3 linked regions of the Mus musculus genome follow. Each later gene encodes a partner of the first gene's protein in a complex. Links are inferred from orthologs where the notes say so. Each region holds a gene or a part of one and is shown in the gene's direction. Other genes may lie near its edges. The genes, in order: F10, Serpinc1 and Asph.

Region 1 (6,727 bases):
AAACAACAAACAAACAAACAAACAGATCTCAAGAAAGGTTCATCTGAGCAATACAGACATGACATGGAGATAGCAACTCTGAAGATCCAGCCTCTTGGTTCACAGATGGTCCCTAACTCCCACCATAGCAGCGCCCAAGAGTGCAAAGTCTCAGGCCCACATAGATCTCAGACAACCAAACATACAGAGGAGATGATATGGGACTCAACATGCTGAGTCATTTCTCCTCTTCCCCTCTCATCTGCTGCTCACTGAAGACGATCTATCTCAGAAACCAAGTCATCAGAAAAGAGCGGCTCTGGATACATCTTTCGAGGATGATCCAATTATATAACATGGAATCTCTCAACAACCAAAAGACAGGAAGGGTTTTTTTCCACTGACTTTTTTTTTTCAAGACAGGATATCTCTGTACAGCCCTAGCTGTCCTGGAACTCACTCTGTAGACCAGGCTGGCCTCGAACTCATAAACCACCTGCCTCTGCCTCCCAAGTGCTGGGATTAAAGGTGTGCGCCACCATGCCCGGCTTCACTGACATTTTTTAAGCTTCAAGTAGTTAAGAAACTTTTAACTGGAGCTATTTCTCGATATGTGTACCAATTATTTTAACTTCAGGAACAATCCCAGTCAATTCAAAATAAAGTTTAATATCTGAAAACATAGGTATATTCAATAGTAGAGAGTTTGTCTGGCATACTTTGAAAGTTTGTAACTACGTATTTCAGCCCAGGGATAAGAGTCTCTAGTTTCTTTTCACTAGCTAAGGTCACAATCACAACTCTTGGGAAGCAAAGGCCACATTGTAACTACTTGACCTCAAACCATGACTGGCAACAGAATAGCCACTGTGCCCAGCCTCTGGCTACAGGACCCTTCTCTTGCTGTTGGTTTCTGCTCTTGGTTTTCTTGCAAAGGTAAAGGCTTTCAAGTTTTCTAACTCTGTTTTTTATTTCTGGCTCTCACTGTAAACTTCATTTAAAATATCCAGCAATAACCATGCCACAGCCTGAATGCTGAGTAGCCAAGAAATTTCTTCTGCCAATTTAATTTGCCTATCAGCTTTAAAATATTGATTCTACAGTTTCAGGGCATGGGCAAAATGTGAACAAGGTCTTTATAGCCAATGGCCTCTAATCTGATTCCCAACAGAGCTTCTGATCCCTTTTAAGAGTTCATGATCATAATATTCGCTACCCACAATTGTTTCAGCATTCTGGTCTTGTGATACCCTGATGGAACCACCCACTCAGCTCTGAACAACAGAATTCTAAGTTTACTCCAGCTCACATCTCTAAATGCTTTTAAATTCTTCCTACCAACTAGCCCCGAGCCTTTCGAACCACATGACCAAGTAGCCATAGCAGCAACCCCACTCTTGGTACCAATTATTTATATTCATCAGAATTTCAGCACTGCAACAAAATGTCTGACAAAATTTAAAGGATGAAGGAGTTTTTTAGCATTTGTTTATTTCTTTATTTATTTATTTATTTATTTATTTATTTATTCATTTTAGCTGTGTTTTACTGATATCTCATTTGACTCTTAGGCTTAACCATTCCACCCCGGCCAGGAAGCCTCATGAGGCTTCTGGCTTTGCTGAGGCCTCTGTGGTCCTATTCTTTTAGCTCCCTTCCCCTGTGGAAAAATCACTACAGGACGTAGGAAGAGGTCTGTGGCCCTAAACACCAGCGACAGTGAGCTTGACCTTGAAGACGCCCTGCTTGATGAGGATTTCCTGTCCCCTACGGAGAATCCTATTGAACTGCTCAACCTCAACGAGACACAGCCTGAGAGGAGCAGCGATGACCTTGTTCGGATTGTGGGTGGCCGGGAATGCAAGGATGGAGAATGTCCCTGGCAGGTAACTGGCCTAAGCTAGTCTTGGCTGCAAGTAGAAACCCTCTCAGGGTCAGCAAAGACCAATGGGACAACCCTTTTCGGGTCACTAAAGGCCAGTGGGACAACCCTCTCTGGGTCACCAAAGGCCAGTGGGATAACCCTCTCAGGGTCACTAAAGGCCAGTGGGACAACCCTCTCTGGGTCAGTGACTCAGACCTGCATGGGTCCTTCTCAGTGGCCATCATTCCATTTGTAGTTTGAGAAAAAAAAATTTAAACAAAAACATCTAAATGCTAACAGGGGTAAAATATGTTAAAGAAAGATACATTCTATTTACATTCAAAATGGTTTTTTTTTAACTACTTTGGTTATTGATGTGATCTAGGGTTGCCAGACTTAGGGGGGCAAAAAAGCCCCTTGGTGAGACTGGAGTCCCGCTGTAGGAGAGTGTTCAACTGCTATTTCTGATCCCAGCTTGGTTTCTGGTCCAGTGCTCTGAATCTCTTCTGTCATCTCAGCTAGCCCTTGAGATTTGCAATGTCCAAAACCTAAATGCCTCTCCTAGAAGCAAAAAACCTAGAACAGCCGGTTCTCAACCTGTGGCTCACAAGCCCTTTGGGAGTTGCATGTCAGATATTTACCTCAAAATTCATAACAGTAGCAAAGTCACAGTTGTGAAGTCATAACAAAATAACATTATGGTTGGGGGTCACCATAACATGAAGAATTTGTTAAAGGAAAGGTTGAGAACTACTGGTCTAGAGCCACCAGCAATGCCCAGACATCATGTCAACACCCTCCACCTGCAGGGTGCAGGGCAGATGTTGTTGACCAGAGGCAGGAATTCCAGCCTACATGCAACCCTCTTCAGACACACGTACTGAGAACTCACTGAGCTGGACCTAAAGTGGCTACTACGTGTAGACTATGAGATCTCATCTTCAGGGAGGCTGGGGAATACTCACCAAGGCCCCTGATGAAGTCTGAGTAAGAGAAACCTGCTCCTGGTCCAAGATTGGCTCCTCCTTAGGGGAAAGCATATGTTGTTGGGTCTTAGCTGGCTTCCTTTCCCTTGTCACTAAAGCAAAGTTTGAGTTTGTATAGTTATCAAAGGTAAATAGGGGTTGGAAGATGGCTCAGTGGTTAAGAGTGCATACGCCTTTCCCAGAGGACCAGAGTTCAATTCCTGGCACCTAGATTAGACAGCTCACAATCTCCTGTAACTCCAACTCCAGGAGAGCTGGCATCTTTGGCCTTCACAGCTACCTCCACTAACCTGTGCATATTCATGCACATAAACATAATTTTAAAACATCTTTAATATAAGAAGAGGAAAAACAAAATCAATAAAAGACAAACTCATTGACTTTTTAGCAATGGGTAACCTCAAGAATTCCTCTGGATTCAACACTAGAGAGTGCTTTTTTTTTTTTTTTTTTTTTTTTTTAGATAGGGTCTCAGTGTGTGGGCCTGGCTGGTCTTGAGCTCATAAGAAATCTACCTGCCTCTGTCTCCCTAATCCTGGGATTAAAGGTGAATGCCATGTGCATCCTGCTCGCTGACTCCCACCAGAGGGTAGGGAATTCACTAAAGAAAGGCAGCCCAGCCAACACTTGGTGTCCAGCACTGCAGGCTAGAGCTCTAGGATGGGCATGGTTCCTCTCCTGGACATCAACTCTTGCTTCTGCATAGCTTCTCAAGAGCAGTCACGGGTACCCTGACTAGATCATCCCAGACAGTGGCACTTAATGAGCAGGAGGGCAGGTCTGTAGGCTGCGGGATCTGGGCTATGGAAAGTAAAGTGTTTCTTCAGAGCAGGGCTGGCTGGTCTGGGTCATGAGTCACAGCCATGTAAACCTTAAGGTTCTTACTACAGAGGAATGTCTTCTGTGGGTAACAGGCGAAAGTGCTAGGACTGATTGGGAAGAGAAAAAAGAGGAGGCCCGTTACAGGGACCTTGTCACCTGGGTGGGAAGGAGACAGGCAAAGATGTCCTCCAGGGTGGTTCTTGGTCTAGGTCAGACCCTCAGCAAATATCTGTGAACTATCTGTTGGTCAATCTTTACAGCAGACCAAACCTACCCTGAGGAAACAAGGCTGGATATGCCCAGGGATTAGGCACAAGGTGGCTGTTGGAGAATATGCTGAGGGTCATGCAGGAAAGGTCTGGGCCGCTAGAGTGAACGCCACAGGAGATGCAGGGTCAGAAGGAGTTGTAGGACTGGCTAGTGGAGGTAGAGCAGAGCCTGGCTGTGGGGTGCTGGACTACATGGAGGTCTCTGCTGGTGTCTGGAACTGAGAGAAAGCTACCATATGTTCTCTGGGCAGCCAACAGGCAGGAGAGCTGGGTCTCTGGGTAGGCTAGTGGATGGAGAAAGCAGGGGTCAGAGAAACAGGTGTAAAACTCCTAGAAAAGGTTATTTGAGAGTCCCTGGAGAGCCCAAATAGCCTACTCAGTGTGGCATGGCCTCACGCAGGCTATAGGTGGTTTGAAGACAATTCTGTTCTGGTCACAGGCTCTGCTCATTAACGAAGACAATGAAGGGTTCTGTGGGGGCACCATCTTGAATGAGTTCTACATCCTCACTGCTGCCCACTGTCTCCATCAGGCCAGGCGATTCAAGGTGAGGGTAGGTAAGTGACATTCCAGCCCTGGGGACCCCGCCATCTCAAGTCCTAAAAGCACTGTCGTTGCTCTCCCAGGATCTCTAGACACATGGGATCTGTTAGCAACAGTTGCCCAAATGCCGAGGAGAACTCGGAGGGCAGGCATCTAACGGCTTCCCCAGCCCAGGCCATTCCAGCAAGAGACTTCTCTCTTCAGAGTTTCTAGTGTGTCTTTTATTACACTCCTCTTACTGTCCAATCCTCAGAAGCCTTTCCAACCTTCCTCTCTCTACAACACTCTCAGGGCCTCTTCCTTTCACTGTGTGTCATTTAGTGCATTTCCATGTTTCCACAAGACCCAGGAGCTGTCTAGTAACAATCCAGCCACAAACTGCCTCAGGTGCAGTTTGAGACATCTGACATTTCTCTGCTACAAACGTAACAAGTACAGATTGTTGCGGGTGTCTCAGCATTTCTCCTTTCCAGCTGTGTCCCCGAGGCCTTGACTTTCCATCCCTAGAGGGATAAACTTCCACTGTGAGTGAGATGTTACCACATTGCCTTCCACAGTCAGCAGGAGGTTCTTTCACCTTAACTCAGACTGGGTGGGTCCAAGGGCACCGGCACCGGTGAGGGTGGATGCACCACCCAGGTCTGGAATAGGAGACCCTCTGTCCTGAGCAAATCCACAGACCCAGCTTCCAGGAACTACACAGGGACCATCTACCAAAGCATGGGGAATTGGAAAGAACTGGAGTCCTAAGCCTGAACACGGAAATCTGATCGGGAGCTGTCTTAGTGCTGATAGTATTCAATTCTCTTGTACGGAACCTCAGTTCAGTTCCTAGAACCCATATGGTGGCTCCCAACTGTCTGTGACTCAAGTTCAAGGAGATCTGATGCCATTTTCTGGCCTCCACAGGCACTAGGCATGCCCACAGTGCACATACGTACATATGCAGGCAAACACTCAGACACATAAAATGAAATAAACCTTTATTTTAAAAAGACTTTTTAAAAATATGATAAGAAGGTGAACTGGAAGAAAGACAGAGCACCTTTTAAGTACCTTTATTTTTAATTTTTGAGTTGGGCTACTCTACAGAGAACTGGCTGATCTTGAATTTACAAAGAACCTGCCCGGTCCTTCTGACTGCTAGGAACACAAGCACACAGTCCTTGGCTTGGGTCTGGTTTCCTATGAGGAAAAAAAAACTTATTTGTGGAGATGGTTTGTTCAGCTTACACTTCAACATCACAGGTCACCATCAAAGGAAGTCAGTGAGGAACCTGGAGGCAGGAGCTGATGTAGAGGCTGTGGAGGGTGCTGCTTACTGGCTTGCATAACATGGCTTACTCCGCCTGCTTTCTTATAGAACCCAGGACCACCAGCTAAAGGATGGCACCACCCATAAAGGGCTGGGCGGTGCCTCATCAATCACTAATTAAGAAAGTGCCTATAGGCTTGCCTGCAACCCGATCTTATAAGGGACATTTTCTCAATTGAGGTTCTTGCCTCTCAGATGACTAGCTTGTGTCAAATTGACAATAAGACCAGGCAGCACATTGCTTGCCTCCCTCCCTTCCTCTCTTCTTCCCTCCCTCCTCCCTCCCTTCCTTCCCCTCCTTCCTTCCTTTCTTGTTGAGACAGGATCTAGTTTATGTAGTGTGGATAGCCTGGGACTTATCATATAGATAGATGATGCTGGCCTCAAACTCATAGATCTACCCGCCTCTAATCCTTCTGTGATGGGACTAAAGGTGTGCTTCTTTAAACACAGCAGATCACAAACACGTGGCCCTCTGGGAACTCAGCCCTATCCTCTCTCTCTTTCTCTGGCCCCAGGTGATCGGAACACAGAGAAGGAAGAAGGCAACGAGATGGTGCACGAGGTGGACGTGGTCATTAAGCACAACAAGTTTCAGAGGGACACCTACGACTATGATATCGCCGTGCTGAGGCTGAAGACTCCCATCACGTTCCGGATGAACGTGGCCCCTGCCTGCCTGCCTCAGAAAGACTGGGCCGAGTCCACACTGATGACACAGAAGACGGGCATCGTGAGCGGGTTTGGACGCACGCATGAGAAGGGCCGCCAGTCGAACATCCTGAAGATGCTGGAGGTACCCTACGTGGATCGCAACACCTGCAAGCTCTCCACCAGCTTCAGCATCACACAGAATATGTTCTGTGCGGGCTATGAGGCCAAGTTAGAGGATGCCTGCCAGGGGGACAGTGGTGGCCCCCATGTCACACGGTTCAAAAATACCTACTAT
Region 2 (7,500 bases), on another chromosome or scaffold:
GAATGTTTGGGGCCAGGCAGTGGTGGCGCACATCTTTAATCCCAGCACTTGGGAGGCACAGGCTGGCGGATTTCTGAGTTCGAGGCCAGCCTGGACTACAGAGTGAGTTCCAGGACAGCAAGGGCTACACAGAGAAACCCTGTCTCGAAAAACCAAGAAAAAAAAAAAAAGATTGTTTGACTACATGTTGAATATTAAATGGTAAGACGGAGGGGATGTTCAATTCACAGTTCATATATATAGGTCTGTATCCTATATACATGCTGTGCCTGTAGAGGCCAAAAAAAAAAAAAAAAAAGACATTAGGTTTCCTGAAGTTAGAGTTACAGACAGTAACTAGGGCTAGAACCAGGATCCTCTGGAAGAACAGCATAAGCTCTTAACTGCTGAGCCATCTTTCCAGCCCCATATTTTTAAGAGATAGATATATTAATCATAGTTGGAATTTATTCTAAAATACTTTCCAATGAAAATTGATAGGGATTTCCAGAAAAGGGTTATAACATTACCAATTACTAAATACGGGGACCACTGGTACCATGACTGGCCACAACAGAAGGAGCCATGGTAAGGGAGCTCAGAAGGTATTAGATAGTTAAGTGCTTGTAGCCATCCTTGAAAAATGATGACATCTAAAAAGGAAATTCCAAAACCAAGCCTGTCTGCCACTTAACCTAAGCTTGTCCTGCTTAGGATATAAGCAGGAACTATCTGACCTGTTAGGCTGACATGCTCAGACTAAAGTGAATGTGTTATATGTGCATCAATGTTTTGTCCCAGTGATCAGCGAATCTGAAATGATCAGCTAGTTAAATCATGCTTTCCAGCCAGTCGTGGTGGCGAACACCTTTAAACCCAGCACTCGGGAGGCAGAGGCAGGTGGATTTCTGAGTTCGAGGCCAGCCTGGTCTACAAAGTGAGTGCCAGGACTGCCAGGGCTTCACAGAGAAACCCTGTCTCGGAAAACAAAACAAAACAAAACAAACAAACAAAAAAAATCATGCTTTCCAACCTGTTTGGCTATTAAGAGAAAAAATACCTACCTCCTTTTTTTTTTTTTTTTTTTTTTTTTTTTGTTTGAGCACCTAACCTTAAGAAAGGATAGATGGAAGAGTGGGAGGAAAAGTTGTAGGAGCCAGAGGGGTCAAGGACAGCACAGAAATCTGATAGAATCTATTAACCTAAGCTCAGAGGGCCTCACAGAGACTGAACCACGAGGCATGCAAGGAACTGACTCTCTCCACATCTGTAACAGTTGTGTAGCTTGCTTTTTCATGTGGGACTCCTAACAGCAGGAGCAGCAGCTGTCTCTGACTCTTGCAGCCTACCTTTGGGACTCTTTTTTTTTCCCCTTACTGAGCTGCCTCAATAGAAGATGCACCTAGTTTTACAGCAACATGATCTGCCAAAGCTGGTTGATATCCGTGGGAGGCCTCCCCTTTTCTGAAGAGAAGTGGGGTGGGGTGACTGGGTGGGAGGAAGGGAAAACTGGTCAGTATGTAAGTAAATCAAAAAATAAAACATTGGGAAGAAAGTGGTTAGGCATGATGTCCTACCTTAATCCCAGTTCTTAGCGGCAGAGGCAGATGGACCTCTGAGCTCAAGGTCAAGGCTGATCTACATAGCAAGTTTCAGGACAGTCCTGTCTCACCTACATACACGCCCACACTCCAAAAAAGTAGTCAGGCAGGAGATGGTGGCGGCCCATAAATGAAGTACCCTGGTGAACAAGAGTTGGAAGCCACTTATATTACATAGTAAATTCCAGGCCAGGCTGGGCTGCACCATATCCCAAAACAAAAAGTGAATTTATCAACTACTAAACGTCCATATGCTTAACAAAATAGAAGACAAAAGTACTTTCTGCCATCAATGAGCTCTAATTGTGGAACTTTGCACAGGCTTTTTAGATACCTTAATCTTGATGGCTATGGTAGTACAGCTTCATTCCCAGAGGTTAGGAGACAGTGGCAGGCAAGTCTCAAGGCCAGCCTGATGTGAAGAGTTCAGTGCCAGGCTAGTCAGGGGTGCATAGTGAGCCTTTGACTCAATAAGATGATGACAACATTAATTATCAACGAATTGTCATCTTCAGAACAAGAAGCTGTGAGACTGGACAAGACAACTTCATTGTACAAGGCCCTAAGTTTGATCTCTAGCACCATCCCCAAAGAAAACTCTGTGTGTGTGTGTGTGTGTGTGTGTGTGTGTGTGTATTTAACTTTGTTTGGCTGGTGAAGATCTCCCAAGGAAACCACAGTGAAGGTAAGACATGAGCGAGTTGAAGTATGGAGAGGGGACTAGGATGTTAGAGAGTCCTAAGCTGTCCTAGTAAGGGAAGATAGGGTATATGAATTCTGAGGGAAGGGACTGAGTTGAAATGGGGATCTTCATTACAACTACTATAGACAGGCAGCTGAAGAGGTGTTGCTTGTAGCTTTTACTACCCCACCAAAGCTCCAGGAACAGGCCATGCTACCAGCCCCCACCCAGCTTCCCTTGAATCCAAGGATAAAAGAGGAGGTAGGATCAGATGGCAAGGGCTGTAGACCATGCCAAAGTGTGGTGGCACTACTCTCTAGTTCCAGGTTAGATCAAGTTCAAGGCCAGCCAGCTTGAGCTACACTGGCAAGTTCAAGGCCCTGAGTTACATGAGACCTGTCTCAAAACTAAAAATAAAATGGCCTTGTCCTGATGGTAAAGAAAATATAAGCAGAAGGTAGTATGCAAGGAAATACAAAATCTAGATTTGTGCCTCTTTATTCACAATTATTGAAAAAATTATGCATGCCTCTCCCATGTGCATGGTGTTCACTGGGGCCCTTGGTAAGGTGCAGTCTGTTTCAGCGGGTCTGGGGTGGGGCTTGGAGGCACATGATCACAGATGATACTCGTGTTCAGTGTGGCCAAAGAGCACACTTGCGTAAGACTCGCCATAATAGGTAATTTTAGAAATAGATCTGATTTGTATCTGAGACATTTTAGTGAAGTGGTGAGATATAAGACATAATCAGAAGACATATCTACCTGAAGACTTTAAGGGGAGAGGTGAGTAGGGTGATTCTTAGCTGGGTTCACATCGGAAGAAGCAGGTGCCTTAAATGGAAGTCAGGGTTCCTGTGCAGCGTGAGCAGCTACAAAACGAATGAGTCTCAATGAGGCCTGAAGGAGTTTAGGTTGTTGTTTGTTTTGGGTCTTGTTTTTTTTTTTTTTCTATTTGAAGATTTATTGTATGTATGTGCACCATATGTGTGCCTGGTGTCTGTAGAAGTCAGTATTGAATCCCCTGGAACTGGAGTTCCGCATGGTTGTAGCCCACCATGTAGGTGCTGGGAATCAATCCTGGATTCCCTGCAAGAAAAATGGACCTAGCTGCTGAGCAGCTTTATACTTCTCAGTTAAATACCAATACCAATACAGATGTGAAGCTGGACATTGGCATGCTGAATCTGTTTAAAGTGAGGCTAGGTTCCCAATTGCAATCGGCTTACACGAAATTAGGGCCTGAACCAGCCCAGTGGTTGAAGTAGGAGAGGAGTTGGGCAATAGGCTGGTTCTGTGTGGTGACTTGAAGACAGATGACAGAACTCCTTAGTCCCCTTGACCAAACAGTAGATCTGTTTGGACATCCTTTTCATGGCATCAAAGCCCTTGGGAATAGTTGAAAGGAAAACCTATAGTGATTTTAGTCTGTCATACATACTCCTAACCTCCCAAGCCCAGTTAGGACCTAAAGGTGCTCTCTTGTACCTCTTTGTCTCTGTGTCATATGTCTAAACTAAACCTTTTACTCCCTGGATAGTTAGGGTACACCTAGACTCAAAGCATGGCATGCCTGTTTCCCCATGGCAGAAGGGCCTCTTGTAGTTTGGGGTATTATACTTTAATCTGTATTAGGCTTTTTTGTTTGTTTTTGTTTTTGTTTTGAGACAGGGTTTCTCTGTGTAGCCCTGGCTGTCCAGGAACTCACTCTGTAGACCAGGCTGGCCTCAAACTCAGAAATCCACCTGCCTCTGCCTCCCAAGTGTTGGGATTAAAGGTGTGCCGGTGGTGCTCGGTGGCTTTTGTTTTTTGTTGTTTTGTTTTTGTTTTGTTGTTGTGGGTTTTGTTTGTTTTTGCATACACATGTCATGTCTGAAGCACATGCATGCAGTACCCAGTGATGCTAGGAAAAAGCACCATCTCTTCTGGAAGTGAAGTTAGAGAGGGGAGCTGCTATGTGGGTGCTGGGAATTGAACCTGGGTACTCTGGAAGAGTTGTCAGTGGTCCTGCTGACATCTCTACTGCTGAGCCATTTCTGGCCTGGGCTTCAGCTCCTTAACTAGTTCTGATGGTTACCATGATACAGTCATTCCCATACCCTCATGCCCTCCTTGTCCCTTAAATGAACTTATAAGGGTTTTCTAAAGCAAGGCTTGGAAGATGTGTGAAAGGCGAGGTAGTCTATAACTCAGCTGCTGTCATCACAGCACACACCTTCGTCCTAGCTTTAGCCACGTTTCTTCCTGCTGCTTCGAGGTCAAACTATGTCATCCCCGTGTCACTGGGAATTCTGCCACTCTCCCTGACTTTGCACTCTGCTTTTCTTCTGTGGTTTTCTCTTATCTCCTACAACTTCTGAGCTAATGTACATGCAATGAGCTTTTTCCCCAAGTTGCTCTTGACTACCTCCCAGCCTTGATTAATATTTATTTGTTTGTTTGTTTGTTTGTTTGTTGTTATTTATTTATTTATTTATGTGCCCTAGGCATGAAACAGCTTTGGCCATCAAACCAGGCATTAATCTAGGATGAATAACTGCCATCCACTCTGCCCCTGACTGATATAAGAACACCACTGCCATAGGTGTCTCTTTGCCCATTGCCCGGGGGGTATTTCTGTCCTCAAGAATCAGTAATGCCTATTTTTTAAAAAGTCTTAATAATCTCTCCATTAAGGAAGTATCAACTGCTAAATCAGAAAAAAAAAATCTGTACCTCTTCAAACATAAATGTTTATTGAGTCCTATCTCATTCAGAGCCCACAGCTGTGTGCACTGAGCATGTTCAATAAATATTTGCTCTTGTGGTTTGATTTCACTGAAACCCAAACTGAACTTTCTAGCTGTACCGAGGACCGGGGCAAATTCCAGTAAGATGCTTCAAGACCCTGGGAAAAGCAGCCAACATGATAATGCCGGGCTTGCTCTTGATAAGCTTCATCCCACCTTAATTACCACCCGAAGATGCTGTTATTACCCTAAGGTCCTTCTTCTTCGACAATCCAGAGGAGCTAGGCATGCCCTTGCTTTGAGGCTCTGTGTTTTGCCAAAGCTCTATGGAAGGGAGTTACTCAGTAACCATAGGAGGGTCTGAGCTACCAAAGACAAGAACACCACAGCCTAGGGCATGAGGGCAGCAGGCAAAGGCCAGTTAATGACCTGCTCACGGTGATTTATGTAGACTGGAGGCTGCTGTAGAAAGGAATTAATGACCTGAAGGAGGTCCCAAAAATTAGAGGGGAAGTAAACGTTAATATTCTTTCAATGTCACTGGAAGACCCGATGTATGCTTTCCAATCTTGTTTCCACTCAGAATGGAGAGAAACGGTTCTACAGATAAGTAGGGGAATTCTCCCCCAAATTTTTACCTGACACGAGTATATCAGAAGGCAGGAAGATGATTCAGTGGGTCAGAGTGGCAACCTGAATTCATTCCTGGAACCTCATGAAAAGACAATTGCAGTGGTACCCATCTGAAATGCCACAACTCCAGTAGTGAGATGAGGAGCAGAGCTAGAGTTGCCCAGAGGCTCCAGGGCCAGCTAGCCCAGATTGTACTGCACAGTGAAACCATCAAAGGTGAAGGGGAGAACCAACTCTGTAAAAGTTGCCCTCGGGTCGTACACGTGCTGTGGTATGTACACAGCTGCACACATCACTCACACACACACACACACACACACACACACACACAGAGAATGTTTTTAAAGTTTCATTTTTAGTGCTGATTAGTCAACCCCTGTGTCTTACTTACTCTTAGAGAGCACGCACTCCACCTCTGAACTACATCCCTGGCTCCCCATAAATAGTTTGCCTCCAGTTCTGGATATAACTAAAGTCTCAAAAGAAAATTAGAGCACTTTTCTTTTTTAAAGATTATTTATTATATGTAAGTACACTGTAGCTGTTCTCAGACACCCCAGAAGAGGGCATCAGATCTCATTACGGATGGTTGTGAGCCACCATGTGGTTGCTGGGATTTGAACTCAGGACCTTCGGAAGAGCAGTTAGTACTCTTAACCGCTGAGCCATCTCTCCAGCCCTAGAACACTTTTCTTATATCTTATAAAACTAATTAAATATTTCATGGAGTATGCAAAGGGGAGTACAGTCACAAATCAGTTTGCCTGGAAATAGTCTTTTTTTTTTTTTTTCTTTCCTTTCTCAACACAATCTAAGATGAACCAAAAGAGAAGATATTTGGGATCATCCAAGCCAGTGAAAGCCAAGGGGAGCTGTATGTGTGAGAAGCTGAGGCCAGGCTGGTAGTGAGGACTCTAAGGAGGCCTGCTGCAGTACACAGTGATGGGGAAAACAGCCAGGGGCAATGCAGCTCAGCACAGCAGGACTGTCTTTTGACCATGTTGTCTTTCTGATGGCAATGTTGGATATCGTAGAATAAGACAGGTGTTTGCTTCTTGGCCAAGAATCACAGGTGCTTTTTTTTTCAGTAATGGAATCCCCATAGCATATCCCAAAAATGATGGGTTCCACAGCTGAGAGTCAGGAAATGCTTGGGCTGGTAACCTGCAGGCCTTTGGAACAGTTACAGCTTAATCATGCAACACAGAAACTGAAACAGCTAAAAAGAGCTGGCCACATGATATAGAAGCTATGTGGTGGCTGTGCTCATCTGGGATGCATATCAGACACATGTACACTAATACAATATCTGTAGCCAATGAGAAAGCCTCTAAGGTCATTTCTGGGACCTGGATTTTTGAGAGCATTATGAACAAATTTGTGACTATCCAGAGGAAAAGAACCAGGTGGTGGGAGAAGTTACAAGCTTCACATGTGGAAAAACAAAAGCAAAAGGATTTAGTAAGGGCTACATAGTAAGAAAGAACTTATCTCATAAAACGGTGGGAGGGGGAAAAAAACAAGCAGATGCTGAGTTGTAGCCAGAGAACATGGACAATTCCTTAACAACACATAGAAGACCTGTGAAACAAGGCTGGAGAGATGGTGCAGGGGTTAAGAGCTCAGGTTAAGACCTGTGAAACAGGTATCAAAGGAGGGCCTTGAACCTCATTTCCCCTAATTTTGTGATGGGGACAAGTACTCCAGCCAAGTAAACAGGCATTTGTTTTCCCCATCTGTAAGCGTGGCACAGTAACATCCCGGTAGAGCAGATGAGGCCATTCTGGAAAGCAGCCAGCGTAGCTTCTGGTATATAATATTTTGAAATCACACTTCATCCTTGGGTATTTGGCTTATTGGATACAATCCAATAGCT
Region 3 (7,242 bases), on another chromosome or scaffold:
TTTTCTGTAGGGCAGCCACAAATCCTGGTTTTGCTTGAATGAAGGTTTCTTAAGGAAAGGGGAACTAACTCTTCAGATTCCTGGAAGAATGGAGTGGAGATGTGACTATGTCCTATTGCTAGCAATACCAGACTTAGTTTCTGGACTGAAGGAACAAAGCCTCACTTTTCCTTGGAGACAGCTGTTCAAAAATGTAAAATCTAACTTCCCTAAACTGTGACCTATGAAAAGTGTCCACACTCAGGCCTCAGTCTGTCTTTGCAGGGAGGGTGTAGATGATCCCAGAAGCCTCTGCTGCAGGAGAGTGGCGTCAAGTAAGATATTCTCAACTGAACGGTAGATTTTTTCTAGGAAGGATAATTTGGAAGTAATTCTGCATGCAGTCTGAGTTCACATCCCCTCTCTATCACCAACTCTGGGACATTCATTACTTTAGCATTGCTGTGACTAAAATACTCAAAGGAAATCACTTAAGAGTGGAAAGGTTTACTAAGGCTCAGAGTTCCAGAGAGACTTTAATCTGTCGTGGCCAGGGAAGGCATAACATTAGCCCCCACTGTCAGAGGCAATGTGAACCCATGGCAGCAGGAGAGCAGGGCCTGGACTAATAAAATAACCCTCAAAGGTCTGCTCCTAGTGGCCTCTTTGGGCAGCCAGGTCATACTTCCTGAGGATTCCTCAGCTCCCCAAACCAGCACCACCAACTGGGAATAAGGGTTGTCTTAGTCAGGGTTTCTATTTCTGCACAAAACCTCATGCCCAAGAAACAAGTTGGGGGTGGGGGGAGGAAGGATTTATGCAGCTTAGACTTTCACACTGCTGGTTCCTCACCAAAGGAAGTCAGGACTGGAACTCAAGCAGGTCAGAAAGCAGGAGCTGATGCAGAGGCCATGGAGGGATGTTACTTACTGGCTTGTTTCCCCTGGCTTGCTCAACTTGCTCTCTTATAGAACCAAGACTACCAGCCCAGAGATGCCACCACCCACAATGGGCTGGGCCCTTCCCTCTTGATCACTAACTGAGAAAATGCCTTACAGCTGGATCTCATGGAGGAACTTCCCCAACTGAAGCTCCTTTCTCTGTGATGACTCCAGCTTGTGCCACGTTGACACACAAAATCAGCCAGCACAAGGGATTAAAACATTTGTGGAAGCTAGTTAAGATTGAACCTTTAAAGCATCAACTCTATAATAGTGTTTTGTGAGTAATTAAAATTTTTTATCTTGGGGATGGAGAGTTATTTATCTATTGTAGTTTAGATATCAGCACCTTCCATTAAGTGATATGGATCAGATTTGCCTCTCTGCCTCCCCCCATTCCCATCATTGTTTCCTGCTGAAAGAATGTCCTTTGTGGGCAAGAAGTTGTGTTCAAAAGAGAGGACTCCTGGGTGCCGAGGAGGCTCAGAGATAAAGAAATGCAGTAAGAATGGACGGCAGCACCCACCTTCATGGCTGTGTGAAAACGATGCCCTCTTTTTCCCTGTTCTGTGAGGCTCTTGGGTTCCACTTTTTTCCCCGGGCGGTACCCAGTATTCACAGCTGACAAGGCAGAGGCCAGTGGACCCTAATGATGGTCAGTGGTGGTTGAGGAAACTGCAGTCTCAGAAGGGGTCGTCCCACAGCAGTGGCTCACTCTGGGTCTTCTACAAGGGGCTGCTTCCAAGAACTCCTGGAAGATCTCGACATTGACAGCAATGTATTAAATCACCACATACTTCATGTTTTTTTGTTACCCACAGACACCATGTGGGCAATTGGTAACAAATGATCATGGTCTCTGCTGGACCTTGGCTGGTTCATCCAGCTGTTGCCATTTTTCTTTTGAATATTCAGTTCTCAATCCCGACGCAGTACACTGCATAAGCATAGGAGATCAATGGCTGGGGACATGAAGAAATTCTAGGTATTAGTGTGATGAGAGTGTTGTGCATGGTTAAGAAAATAGGGTTTTTGAGTCATGTTAACATTTTAATGTCTTAACTAAAGGTTCTCCAAAACTACTGATGGCACAAATCCTTATTTTTGACACTGGAAGGCTCAACAATCACAGTGTACTGGCGGAACTGTGGCAAATCCTTTTCAAAGAGAGGGCTTGCACCCTTGGTCGTACTTAGGCACCGGAACCAAATTCCCAAGAAGCCAAGAGGTGGTGCGCAGCTCTCGGGCACCGCCCTCATACCCGCCCCATCCCGTTGGAGCCAGAACACCAACGCTCGCGAGAGTCCTGCCGGCTTCCACGTTTGCCACGTTCCAGAGGATCCAGGCAGACTAGAAAGCCACAAGCCGCTGGGGCTTTGCAGTCACTGCGCAGCAAAAGACAAGCTTTGGCCTGAGGAGGGCAGGCGCGCGTAGCCTGCCCCGCCCCCTGCCAGCGGTCCTCGGGATTGGCTCGTGTTGGCGTCTTTCAGATCTGGTGGGTGGGCAGAGGCTGGCGTGGGCGGGGCCGAGGCCGGGGGGAGCTGAGCGCTCTTGGCAGCCTAAGGAGTCGCAGGCTGGGCGCACGCGAGGCTAACCGCGCGGCTGCACGCTGGTGCAAGTCGTCCGAGGCGCAGCGAGCGCAGTGGACGCTAAGGCGCTGCTACAGGAGTCTCGAAGCCCCGGTGTCCCTAGTGCACTCAGCAAGGCCCCGGTTCTCTGCAGTCCCCGGAGCAGCTCGCGATGGCCCCGCGCAAGAACGCCAAGGGCGGCGGCGGCAACAGCAGCAGCAGCGGCAGCGGCAGCGGCTCGGGCAGCGGTAGCCCGAGCACGGGTAGCAGCGGTAGCAGCAGTAGCCCCGGGGCTCGGAGAGGTCAGAGTCCCCGCAGGCCAGGCCCTGGCTGCGGGCGGGAGCCGGGTGGGCGCTGCAGGTCTGGTCTGATCCTACGTCCGCCGCTCCTCTCCATCCTTAGCGAGGCTCCTGTGTGCGCGGGGCGAGGCCGCGCTCACCGGGCGGGGAGGCGGAGGAGCAGAGTCGGCCGGAGGGGGACCCCTAGCACCAGCCTGCCCGAGCATTGGCCGGCCCTTTCTTGCCTTTCCTGATGGAAGCTGGGTGTAGAGGGCCCTTTATCTTTTTGCAGTTTTCGGGGCGCTTGACCCTGAGCCAAAGTCAGAGAAAGTAAGTTTCAGCCTGGCCAGCAGCGTTGAGGAGCGGCTTGGAGGAGTGTATTCAAGGGCCGGGATGAGACTTGATGCTTCGTTCTTGCAAATTATTTTAAGGAGTTTTGTTTAGTTTTCTTAATATGTATTGCGTTTGCCTTTTAAAATACAAAGGGACATCATAAAGTACTATAGGGATTTTCTCTGTGCCTCCTTTTTCTTTTCTCAATAAAATAAAATAAAATCATAACCCCCCCCCCCCCAAAAAAAAAACCCAACCAAACAAAAAACCCAAAACCCACAAACAAAAAACCCTACTGGTTATTCACCTTTCTTCTCCATGTGCTTAGCCAGCAGAGTGGAGAACAGATGTTTTAAATCTGTTTCGTGTCAGATTTCACCGGTTCTCGGTTTCTCTTATATTTCCTTTGACTCATATTTAGAATATTGGAACTGGAACACACATGTGTATTGAATGTGAGCTCTCAATATCACTGGAAATGATTTAGATTCTATGCTTTGGTCTATGGGCAGCTCATTATTATATGTCATATATAGATTGGATGATTATGGTTTTATTAGTATATGTCAGGACGATAGATGAGCCAACTATGGTTTTTCTTCATAGCACTTGCTGTCTTCATGTATATTCTGTCTTCATGTATTGTCTTTGTTTCACTCTCTTCTATTCCCCATTATCAACTAGAATAGTTCGTTTCCTTAATAGCTGTGCAATAAATATTTGATTAGAAAATGAATGAATAAATGTAAATGGGGAAAGTTAGGCAGTTAAATCCATTGTACACATTAACATTCTGAGAGCTGTTTGTATTCTTAATGGAAAGGACTCTATGTACACAGTTTGAGGTCCAAGGCCACTGTAGTAATTAATTCACCTCAATACCGGTAAAAATGACATTCAGGCTCTCTGGCTCCTAAGTCAGCTAATCTGACATCGGCAGCGCCATTGCTTTGTGGTTGGAGCATAGATTTGAAGTATGTGAATGAGAAGAGCCTACTGAATGTTGAGGAGAAAGCTAATGAGCAAGATTTTAATGTGTTCTGTAGCGATTGCCTGGTGAAATGCGTCTGCTGCTGTCCTGGGAGCTTTGTGTGTGCTGGGGAAGTGCTTTAGCCGCTGAGCTACATCCTAGACTTTCATCTCTATCCTTTACACCCTGATTGCATCCAGGGAAGTCTCTTATGAGGCCTGCCAGTACAGAGAGTGTGCACCGTCCCCTGATAAGTACCAGTGTTACAGTCAGCTGGTAGGGCTGGGAAACCCCAGGATGTATAGTACCTTATTCTTAGGATGTATATATAGTCCCTTATTCTATCATTAGGATGTATAGTCCCTTAGTCTATCATTTGCCCACACTTTAGAGTGACATAACTATAATGAAGCACAATTTCATTCATAATGAATGAAACACCTGTGTTCTAACCCCTCCCCCCAAACTCGAGCCTAAATTACACAGAGCGCATGATTCTTCCTAGGCCATTATTTTAAATAACTATTTCAGTAACTACTGAGTTCTGATTGGGTGAAAGAGAAGGCACCCCAGGTGGAAACTAAAACTCTTCTTCCCTTTGTGCTAAACAGTTACCATTATAATGGGAAAGCGTGGTTCTGTTTATTGCTTTCTTACAGCAGGGTACACCTGAAAGATAAACAGGGTACTGAAAACAAAGTTAACTTTATGTGGTCACTGAGGTAGGGACATGGACATGCAAACCAACTCTAACTGCTGGGGAGTCCGTAGCTGCAGTTACATTGCTGTGGCATTTAGTGTCTTCTAGTTAAATAAGGTGAGAAAATTAATGCTTAAAGGTCTTGCTCAGCCTGTGAAAACCCAGGTAGGACAGAAGAGCATCAACTAAAAGCCAGGTTTTCTGTTGCTCATCATTACACTGCACTGTTTGAATTGTTGGTTCTTAAATAGAATACGTCAGATCTTATAGGGGTTGGGAGTTGAAGTAGTTTATCAAGTTTTCTTCTGGCATGTCCCAGGTAGAGTTACAGTCATTGCAGAAATTTGTGCTTTTGTTTAACTAATAAGCCTTTGATTAAAATATGGTTAAAGTAGCACGTTTAAAAATCATAGTTTGAAAAGTGCACACACTAAGTTTTTAACATTGAGAATCTGATATCAGTGGTGACATTGGTCTCATAACTCATCTCATTAGTACTAAGGTTATTATATAAAAGTATTATGGGGGATGGGAGACCTATAAAGCACATCTATAGAGAAAATATTTTAAAGCATGTGTCTGCTTTCCACTTTCTTCAGCTCAGTTGAGAAATGATAAAGTAGAATTTCATTTTAAATTTTTCAATTTGCTCCTTAGAATACAGAAGAAAGGAGTTGGACATTTTACGTTTAACATGCATCTAAAAGGTGATTTACCTAGCCGGGGTTTTGAACGCAGGTATTTCATTCATAGAGTGTGCTTCACTATTACTTGGCCAGTGAAAAGTCTTTCTCACATTTACTGATTGGGAAAGTGTTTGAGGAAGAGGGACATGGTTGTCTTTGGGTTTATGATACAGTACAGAGGGGTCTGTGCAATGTATCACCATTGTGGCCAGTGTCTTGACATACTTACCACTGGCTGCCTCTTTTGGCTGTGGCTTGCTTTTATTCTGTCACTTACCAGCAGGTGTCGCTGTAGAACATGTTTCCCCTCCCAATTTGAAGCTTCAAGTTATATAATGGCAATTAGATCTTAAAACTATTTTAATCAGTCTGTACTTACCCAGGAACTCTTATCAACTGGTGTTCAATTCTCTCAAGATATCTAATAGATCAAGAAATTTAAGAATAAGCCTTTGTGTGGAACAATCTTAAGACTTATGGAGAATGAAATATGTCCGTATACTTTTGGTAATATAAATTCACACAATCATTTGATGCATTTTGGTCATTGGGAAACACACTTCCAAATTTATTCTTCCCCAGCCTCCATAAACTTTCTGTGTCTCTTAGGTTGCTAATGGATACAGTGTGCTGCTGAGTGTGTCCTGGCTTTCTTGAAAGAAGGGGGCCCAGTCGCAGTTTTTTTCTACTTAACCAAGGGGATAAGTCAGGGCCAGTGACTTAATACTCTACCAGCCAATTAAGGATGGAAAACTAGAAAGCCCATAATTTGCTCACTACAAGAATTGTATGTGTTTGTTGTGTTGGTAGCACTGTTTTTCTAGCTTGGCCAGATCATAGGAAAACAAGTTCTATAAAATACTCGGAGGGAATTCTTTGCAACCATACCATGGGCTGGGAGATTATTCGAAAATAAATAGATAAAGTTTACATTTTCTTCTAGTTAATAGTAGTACCGTGGTTATGTGGGCTAACTTAGATATTTTGTTCATGTGCACTGATCCCAAAAGGGAACAACAAATACCATTTTTCTCATGAAAGGCAGTGCAGTTTGGAACAAGGAATCTGATAGCCCAGGCCTCTATTTGTTTTAGAAACATGTGGCAAGTCTCTCTGACATCGCTAATCTTAATCCATTTACTCTCTGTTTTGCTTCCTGGTTCCCGATAGCCTAAGACAATATGATATGCCTTGATGCATATCAAATTGTACACGTGTCCATGCTGATGGTGAGAGTGAAAAACCTGAGAGAATACAAAGTACCCATCTTGCTTGACAAGCTGCACTACTGTTACTCTGTAACATGTTTGTTTCAAATATAGGATTCCTTTTGCAGTAGACTCTATTGTAACTTTCTGAAGCACTAGATACAGTTTTGTAAGTGTTTCATTTGTACAGCCGCCTTCCTGTTGCTATTTGCCAGCTGATCTCTTAGCGATTTGTAACATTCTGTATCTTAGTAAAGCTCAGATACAATGTGCTCTTTTGATGCTCTTCCAGCTACTGATTTAATGTCCTGAGAAGGACTTGGCCTGGATCTTCAATATGCTGCTTCTGCATCCCCAGCAAGTACAGAGTCCAAAAGGCTGTTAGAGAAATCCCATTTAGTAAAAACTGTATGCATAGCTAGATAAGGCCAAGATAGTCTAGTGTGATTTAGCATAATAGGGCATCTAGAGTTGATAGTAATATATAGTGTGTTTCAAGATAAGATTATTTTCAAAAATTGCATTATAAAAATCATATTTGAAGATAGAATATTTTACCTGATTTACATATTGTACATG

The links.
Region 2: the proteins of F10 (region 1) and Serpinc1 are in contact, whole or in part, in a crystal structure (PDB 2GD4), measured with the Homo sapiens proteins. The link is inferred for Mus musculus from reciprocal best matches to the Homo sapiens genes F10 and SERPINC1. Residues at the interface, in NP_000495.1 of Homo sapiens: Asn254, Glu256, Glu258, Gly259, Phe260, Cys261, His276, Cys277, Gln280, Ala281, Lys282, Thr318, Tyr319, Arg366, Lys370, Gly371, Arg372, Gln373, Phe396, Asp413, Ala414, Cys415, Gln416, Gly417, Asp418, Val437, Ser438, Trp439, Gly440, Gly442; in NP_000479.1 of Homo sapiens: Asn265, Thr266, Arg267, Glu269, Met283, Met284, Tyr285, Glu287, Tyr292, Arg294, Val349, Val420, Val421, Ile422, Ala423, Gly424, Arg425, Ser426, Leu427, Asn428, Pro429, Asn430, Arg431, Thr433.
Region 3: the proteins of F10 (region 1) and Asph are in contact, whole or in part, in a crystal structure (PDB 6Q9F), measured with the Homo sapiens proteins. The link is inferred for Mus musculus from reciprocal best matches to the Homo sapiens genes F10 and ASPH. Residues at the interface, in NP_000495.1 of Homo sapiens: Asn97, Gln98, Lys100, Cys101, Lys102, Asp103, Gly104, Leu105, Gly106, Glu107, Tyr108, Thr109, Cys110, Thr111, Leu113, Glu114, Gly115, Phe116; in NP_004309.2 of Homo sapiens: Ala389, Glu390, Arg393, Ser394, Asn395, Leu398, Gln431, Phe432, Leu433, Gly434, Met436, Arg437, Val462, Leu465, Leu466, Ile467, Gly468, His493, Phe496, Ala500, Arg526, Phe529, His530, Arg562, Ser563, Leu564, Tyr565, Asp616, Glu617, Leu619.

What each region holds. Positions count from the first base shown.
Region 1 is NC_000074.6:13,048,997-13,055,723, forward strand, and holds part of F10 (coagulation factor X isoform 2 preproprotein), read left to right. Parts: intron 1-1,629; coding exon 1,630-1,865; intron 1,866-4,359; coding exon 4,360-4,477; intron 4,478-6,296; coding exon 6,297-6,727. UniProt on the Homo sapiens protein: Factor Xa is a vitamin K-dependent glycoprotein that converts prothrombin to thrombin in the presence of factor Va, calcium and phospholipid during blood clotting.
Region 2 is NC_000067.6:160,975,668-160,983,167, forward strand, and holds the start of Serpinc1 (antithrombin-III isoform 1 precursor), read left to right. Parts: upstream 1-2,915; 5' UTR 2,916-3,048; intron 3,049-4,735; exon of another isoform or gene 4,736-4,873; intron 4,874-7,500. UniProt on the Homo sapiens protein: Most important serine protease inhibitor in plasma that regulates the blood coagulation cascade. AT-III inhibits thrombin, matriptase-3/TMPRSS7, as well as factors IXa, Xa and XIa. Its inhibitory activity is greatly enhanced in the presence of heparin.
Region 3 is NC_000070.6:9,664,329-9,671,570, reverse strand, and holds the start of Asph (aspartyl/asparaginyl beta-hydroxylase), read left to right. Parts: upstream 1-2,408; 5' UTR 2,409-2,660; coding exon 2,661-2,790; intron 2,791-7,242.